Linked DNA regions of Sus scrofa. The protein of the gene in region 1 interacts with the protein of each later gene in a biochemical or structural test. Links are inferred from orthologs where the notes say so. Each region holds a gene or a part of one and is shown on either strand. Other genes may lie near its edges.

Evidence for each region.
Region 2: of the proteins of MCM7 (region 1) and CDC7, one has a biochemical effect on the other in vitro, tested with the Homo sapiens proteins (2 studies listed by BioGRID). The link is inferred for Sus scrofa from reciprocal best matches to the Homo sapiens genes MCM7 and CDC7.

Annotation. Positions count from the first base shown.
Region 1 is NC_010445.4:8,008,219-8,011,047, forward strand, and holds part of MCM7 (DNA replication licensing factor MCM7), read right to left. Parts: coding exon 2,796-2,829; intron 2,502-2,795; coding exon 2,364-2,501; intron 2,072-2,363; coding exon 1,922-2,071; intron 1,722-1,921; coding exon 1,607-1,721; intron 1,519-1,606; coding exon 1,387-1,518; intron 1,212-1,386; coding exon 1,128-1,211; intron 865-1,127; coding exon 471-864; intron 123-470; coding exon 39-122; intron 1-38. UniProt on the Homo sapiens protein: Acts as a component of the MCM2-7 complex (MCM complex) which is the replicative helicase essential for 'once per cell cycle' DNA replication initiation and elongation in eukaryotic cells.
Region 2 is NC_010446.5:125,456,560-125,460,812, forward strand, and holds the start of CDC7 (cell division cycle 7-related protein kinase), read right to left. Parts: upstream 2,801-4,253; 5' UTR 2,677-2,800; exon of another isoform or gene 2,110-2,676; intron 2,021-2,109; 5' UTR 1,941-2,020; coding exon 1,826-1,940; intron 999-1,825; exon of another isoform or gene 1-998. UniProt on the Homo sapiens protein: Kinase involved in initiation of DNA replication. Phosphorylates critical substrates that regulate the G1/S phase transition and initiation of DNA replication, such as MCM proteins and CLASPIN.

The sequences.
Region 1 (2,829 bases):
AGTGGGGAACGACACCAGTCCTCACCCAGCTCTCCTACCTCATAAGCTTCATATCCAAAGGTTCAAACTGGGCAGGGGGCTGCCGGCTGTGCTGGTGCACGTAGGTGATGTGCTGGGCCAACCTGGAAGAGGGGAGGCAAGTATGAACACTTTTTTCGGTGATCCGCACTGTACCCCAAGCCTACATCTTACTCTCTCAGCTCTGTGTGTCACAGCCCAGCAGAGACAAACTTTCTCAGAAAATGATCATCTGCATTTCAACCCTGACCCACCCTGAGAACTGGACCAGCCCCTTCTGCAAGAGGGAAATGCTCCAGTTTCCATGGGCTGACGAGGAGGTTTCCAATCCCCCGCCCCCAGAGGGTGTAACTGAGGGGTGGCTCCTTGGCTGTTGTGCTGCGAATATTCCCCCGCCCCCAGAGGGTGTAACTGAGGGGTGGCTCCTTGGCTGTTGTGCTGCGAATATTCACCTCAAGTCATTGTCTCGGTCAGGCCGGTCCTGGATTAGCCAGAGGAGGTCAAATCGGGAGAGCAGAGCCGCAGGAAGCTGTATGTTCTGCTCCAGGCTCCGGCGAGGGTTGTAGCGTCCGTAGGCAGGGTTGGCAGCAGCCAGGATAGAGCAGCGGGCATTAAGTGTTGTGAGAATGCCTGCCTTGGCAATGGAGATGGTTTGCTGCTCCATGACCTCGTGGATGGCTGTGCGGTCAGCTTCCGCCATCTTGTCAAACTCATCAATGCAGCAGACGCCCTGGTCGGCCAGCACGAGGGCGCCACCCTCCAAGGTCAGCTCTCCACTCACGGAGTCTCTCAGCACGGCGGCCGTGAGCCCCACTCCCGAGGAACCTCGGCCTGTTGTGTACTGGCCTGAACAAAAGGGGCAGGAAGAGAGGAAGTTAGCAGCTGTGTTTAAGAAGAGGGCAAAGGAAAGAAGGAAGGGGGCCAGTGAGGCGAGGCCTGCCCGACCGCTCCGCTGACCCAGCCAGGCCTGCCCGAGGCAGCTGCAGATCCGCGACGTGGTGGCGCTGATCACATCTCCACCCCCCAACCCCTCCCAGAAGAGCACAAACACGGAACGAGGTGGTCCTACTCCTGTCCTCGGGCTTGCCTCCCAGGGTCTGAGAACTCACTGCGGGGGGCCAGGCGATCAATGTAAGACAGGAGCTGAGACTTGGCCACTCCAGGATCCCCCATCAGACAGATGTTGATGTTGCCTGGAGGAAGGAGGCCCCCGAGTGACTTTTCTTTCAATCCAAGTTGTCCGAAAACAACACTTTCAAGGTCTGCCCCCCATGCCCCCCGTGCCCGTGAAGCCGAGGCAGGCTTATTCTATGGCCTGTGGACGCTGGAAGGTCCTTACCCTTCTTCCTCCCAAATGCCTCCACTCACCCCTGATCTTCATGCCTCGAGGAGACTGGTCCACCCCTCCCACCAGCAGGAGCAGCAGTGCCTTCTTCACGTCTTCATGGCCGTATATTTCCGGGGCAATGGAGGCTGCCAGCTTTTCATAGAAATCCTCCTCTGTGGGAAAAAGAAGACTAAGTATTTTCTGGGAGAAAAAAACTGCTAGGGAGAAATTTGGATCCCAGTCTTTCCCCTGACCCCTCACCTGCGATTTGTCTCAGTTCTTCCCTGCTCAACTCTCCAGCCCCAGACTCATCATCCTCACTCTTACTCATCTTCACAATCCGATGGGCTTCCAGGTAAGTTTCTGAGAGTAAACCCTTGAGCAGGAAAACACCAGGGTATGAATGAAGCGCCTTTAACTTGCCCTTCCATGTGAGTCCCTGAGGAGTTCCTGACAGAACCCTCTGTTCTGCTTTGTTTGGTATTCTGTTGCTTGCTGTCACTCTTCTCTGTGGGGCTGTTAAAGAGTGAGGAGATGAGAAAAAAGGAACCACCACCTCATTTTCAACTTTCTCACCTGGACCACCTGTCGGAACCCGGTGCGCAGGATCGGCAAGAAGATACCGGTGACACTGACATGATCCCCAGGCTGGGCGATCCTCGTGTTCTCTCCTTCCACCAGCACTGTGATGCTGCGAGGGATGTTTCCCACGGGCACTTGGTCACTCTGGGGAAGAAGGGTCCATGAGGCCTGCCTTTCTCTCCTTATACACACTATGGCCACTTCTTGGTCTGCTTAGCCTCAAGCAAGCTGACAAGAGGAAAACTAGGCTTTTTTTTAAAACTCTTCCCAACTCAGAAAGTTCCAGTTAAACCCCGTCCTGCTCTCACTGACTTCTCTGCCTCGACTCTCCCCTTTTGTTCTACTTTCTTTCTTATGCTTCTGAACGACTACAAGAATCAAACGGACTCCCAAGCTCCCCCTTCCCTGAGCCCCAGACCACATCCCCCAAACTCACATGTTCTTGCATCTTCATCTCCTGGAATTTGATGAATTTGGAGCCACGTGTCTGAAGATACAGTCGCCCTCCTGAGCGGTTGGTCTGGCACTCCTGGCTTGGGCACATGATCAGAGGCATGAAAGTGGGAGACTGGATCTAGGATACAAAAAACAAAGCACCAGAGGAAATGAGAAAAAAAAGGGCTCCTTAGAGTTAGTCACCTAAATGACGTTTCTTCTCTGTGATAGAAAACATGGGATTGCTGAGTACACCAAGAACACAGAATGGATGGAAAGGCCATCCCATGCTGGAAAAAGAATGAAAACACACAGGTGTGTTTTACAATTAACAGACCAGTAATGACAACATATAATCATCACAAAACAAATTAATTCATACAAAAACCGCTGACAAAAGTAAACACATTCCCATTCTTTGCTCTATACATACCGGCTGGTAGGTCTCTGCCCCACACTGGTCACAA
Region 2 (4,253 bases), on another chromosome or scaffold:
AAGCCATAGAACCACCTCCTTTCTCGCCCCTCTCTGACTTCACCCCCCTCTCCTGCCGTCCTGCAGCTCCGTGAGCAGCTGGCCCTCTCTGAGTGCTGGGCACACTCCAGCTTAAGGTCTTCAAACTCGCTGATTCCTCTGCCTGGGACGCTCGGCCCCAGACACATGCACGGGCAGTTAACCCCGTCAAGTCGGAGCCCAAATGTTACCACCCCAAACCTCCTCGGACTAAAATCACAATTTTCTTCCCCAAAATGTCTTGGCACTCCTTCCCTTTGCATTGTCTTCACAGCACTAATTATGTTTGAACACACTATTTAATTTTTATTTTCTATCTCTACTACGACTTGAGGGCATTGATTTTTGTGCATCGTGAACTGATGTGTTACCAGCACCCAGGAAGCTGCCTGCACTAACAGACATTTAAGAAATATTCACCATACGAATGAAATGGTTTCAATTTCTTACCAAGCAGTAAACTGACACTCTAGAAATATATGTCATGCTTATTCTGGGGCTTCATGTACGGCCTAAAATCAGGTCTCCTGTAACAAGGGAGATCATACCATTTAGCCCAAATTGGGACACTCTGAGAATGAAAGGGGGCGCTAAGAATTACACTGTGACAACAGGCATAAACTAGACCCGTCTCGGGCAAACCAGAACACTACCTGTAACCCGTCTTAGAAGTGTGGGCCAAGGGCATCCAGATAGCACCCCGCAAGCAAGCCTTCTACTCAACAGTATGGAGGAGACACTCAGTGCACACAGAGTTTATACCTCATTCTTTCAACTCAAAAGGTTTTATCACTTATTAAACTTGGCATACGGCAGATACTTCAAAAAAAAAAAAAGTTTGCTGAGAAAAGGAAAGAATAAACATTTGATTTAATACTATGCCAGATACTTTGTTCACTGCAGTGGGTTTTTTTCCCCTTCTGTTTTTAGGGCTGCACCACAGCATATGGAAGTTCCCAGGCTCCGGGTTGAATCAGAACTGCAGCTGCCGGCCTACACCACAGCCACAGCAACGCCAGATCCTTAACCCACTGAGCGAGGCCAGGGATTAAACCCTCGTCCTCATGGATACTAGCTGGTTCGTTACTGCTGAGCCAGGTCGGGAACTCCCAAAAATAATATTTTTGAACAAGTACTAAATAACGCTTAAGACAAAGATGGAAAAAAAGACTCAGCTACATTTAGGAAAAAAGAAATACAACCAACAACCAACTGGAACCCCTATTTAACCAATATTTATTAAATGCCTGCCTTGTCCCAGGCACTGTGCTAGAGCAGGAATAAAGACGCACATTACAGAATGCAAACTCAGGCACTGTTTGACCCTCTCTCTCATTTCAAGGTCAGGCTAAGTGGCAAATAAAACTTCATGATGTACACTGAGATACAGTCCCTAATTATCACTGCAAACATTTCATTTACTTTTGTCAGTGAATACTGCTGCTGCATACTTAAACCAAAATCCCACCAACGTCAATTGCTAAATCCAAGCTTAATGCAATATAGTGGTAGAAATTCTAGAAGAGAAATTCCCGTCGAGTATCAACAAACTTTGTGTTCTTTGACAACCAGGAATATTTAGACTAGCAACTTCATCTGTAAAATGGTATGGTTAGACGACAATCCTCCCAAAATGCAATCCAATTCCCAAACTAGACCTTAGAAAGTTTTACTGATTCATAAACTGCTCCTATTTAAATACACAAGTCACTTGAAATTTCAGGAAGTGTTCTGGGCCTTGTGTTTGTTTTTTAATAATAGAAATTACAGAATTGTTGCCTGTACATCTTTGGAAATAAACACATACCTGGTAGTTTAAAATTCTGCTCATGTTTTTTTAATGAGCCATCCGCCTGAAAGCGGCCATGCAGAGGAGAAAAAGCCATTGGTTCATCCATCTGAACCCCCAGAGACGCCTCCATCACAAAGCAAGTGGGGTGCAAAATGCCAGCTAAGGGGTCATGTCCACAGGGGGAGCAAAGCAGCTGTGAAAATCAGAATTCTGGAGCAGGTGAGAAGTTTATATCACTCAGTGAACTAAACACTAAAAAGTGCTACTGTCCCCCAAGGGGCAAACATTTAAAAACGCACCGTAGGTCAAAATTCCCCAAGGAAGGGGAAACTTGAGCCATTTCTAAGGATTCCATTGGCTTTACTTTCACATCGCAGAAAAAACCAGCAGGGGGCCGAAGGGAAAACCGCCCGGCGACGGTGGGACGGGGGCGCCGGGGGCTGCAGAGGCTGCGACCCGGGTCGGGGAAGCCTTAGTGGGGACAGCGGTTCGAGCCGAGGGAGAGGCTGGCAGAGGAGAGCGCCCGACCACTGAGAGGGGGCGCCGGGGGTCCGTCCAAGGCCCCACGCAAGTTGGTGGAGAACTGACACGACCTTGCTCGCGAGCGCCCGGCGGGGAAGCGGGCATGAATGGGATCCTTCCGGCAGCGCGGGTCGCGCGCTGCGCGGGGGGAGACCCGGTGCCCGCAAACCCGAGACCGCACGGGACGCTGAGTGCGCAGGCGCACGACTTTCCCGCCGCAGGTCAAAGGGGTCCGAAAAGTCGGGGGGGGGGCACTGCGCTGCGACAAAATGGAAGTCACGATCCAGAACTCGTTTCTAATCCCTCACGAGCCCGCGCCATGGGACAAACCGTCGGAAACTCACGGTTTAAAGGAATACGACTTCCGTGGCTCCCCAGAAGCCTAGGTTGCCGCTTCCAAGAGCGCCCACCTAGCCAGCCGGCCAACCGCGCCTGCGCAGCGCTTCCCGCCTCGCCGCCTCGAGTCGCACATGCGCAGTGTGAAGCCGGCGCGCCGCGGTTTCTGCGCCGAGCGCCTGCGCAGGGGGTGGGTTCCTGCCCCAAGGCGGAGGCTGGTCCAGGAACGGTTGCTGATGGAGAGCCGGGGAGTGATCCTTCGCTGGAAAACGGTGACCCCTAAGGTTAAGGATCTAACAGCACTCGGAGGAAAGAGAGTAAGTCAGAGACAGCAGAGTCTCATTCTCACCTAGAGAGACTTTGGACCCTCCGGATAAAAGACGTTCACTTTCTCGACTCCCAGCTTTCACTTCTTTTGGTGGAATGCCCCCACCTGTCCGTTCAAAACAAACAAACCAACAAACAAAGGCAATTGCTAGTTGTTTGTGGCTGTATTCAAAGAAACAAGCCCAGTGACATTCTCACTGCCACTTGGTCAGTCAGCATATATTTGAGCCCTTGGCTCTGAGGCTGGCTTCGAGAGGCTGGGGTTACAGCGGAGAAGACGCCCTAGAAAACCCCGCCGTCCCTTTATGAAGCCAAGTTCCAGTGAGACAGTGACAATAAATAAATAAATGAACAACATTCTTCTAGATGTTGATAAACGCTCCGAAGGGAATAAAGTGGAAGGACGCGATCGTGACAGAAGGAGGCATCGTGTTGGGAGCCAAATGGGAAAGAGACTAGTTGGCCAAGGGTAGATCAAGTGCAAGGGTAGGATATCAGCTTAGTAAGTTGGGGGGAGGGAGTTTCACAGAACACCAGCATCAGGCAGGGCCACTCTGTGACCTCGATATGATGGATCAAGACAGAAATAAGGTCATTCTGTAATCTTGTCTAGATATAGACCAAATGTAAACATTTTGTCAAGCCACAAAAATGAGCAAACATTTTCTTCTCCTGGCTAATGGGAGCGACTGCTGCTTCTTTACTAATTAAAATTTTAGCCTCTGTAAACACTCAGCCATTCTAGATAGTACTTATTAAAATACACAATTATAGATTTACTCCTGCCTTCCTACAGCTCCCAATAAGTCCCTCTTCCTTGAACCCATCCCTAAATCATGTAACACAAACCCAGATTTCTAACACCCTCTTACTGAGATGCTATATGGTTGTCCCTGGTGTGCATTCTCACTGAAACCTAACTTGTTCAATTGCGGTTCCTCCTGCTCTTTAGCTGGAGGGCATTGACAGTACTCAAGTCCAAGGTGTCTACTAGATAGCTAAGTGATAATGTCAAGTGAACAGGTCTGGAATAGAGTCTAGGCTAGAGACATAAATTTGGCAGTTATGAGTTTATGCATGAAACTTAAAACTTTGGGACTAGATGCTATTATCAAATCAAAGATTATAGATAGAGAACGGGGCTATGGGTATCCCCACTCTTTCAGAGTTGGGCAGAGGAAGAAGAAGAGCCAGCGAGAGACTGGGAAGGAGTGACCTGTGAGGTAAGAAGGTGATGCCATAGTGATCAAGAGGAGAA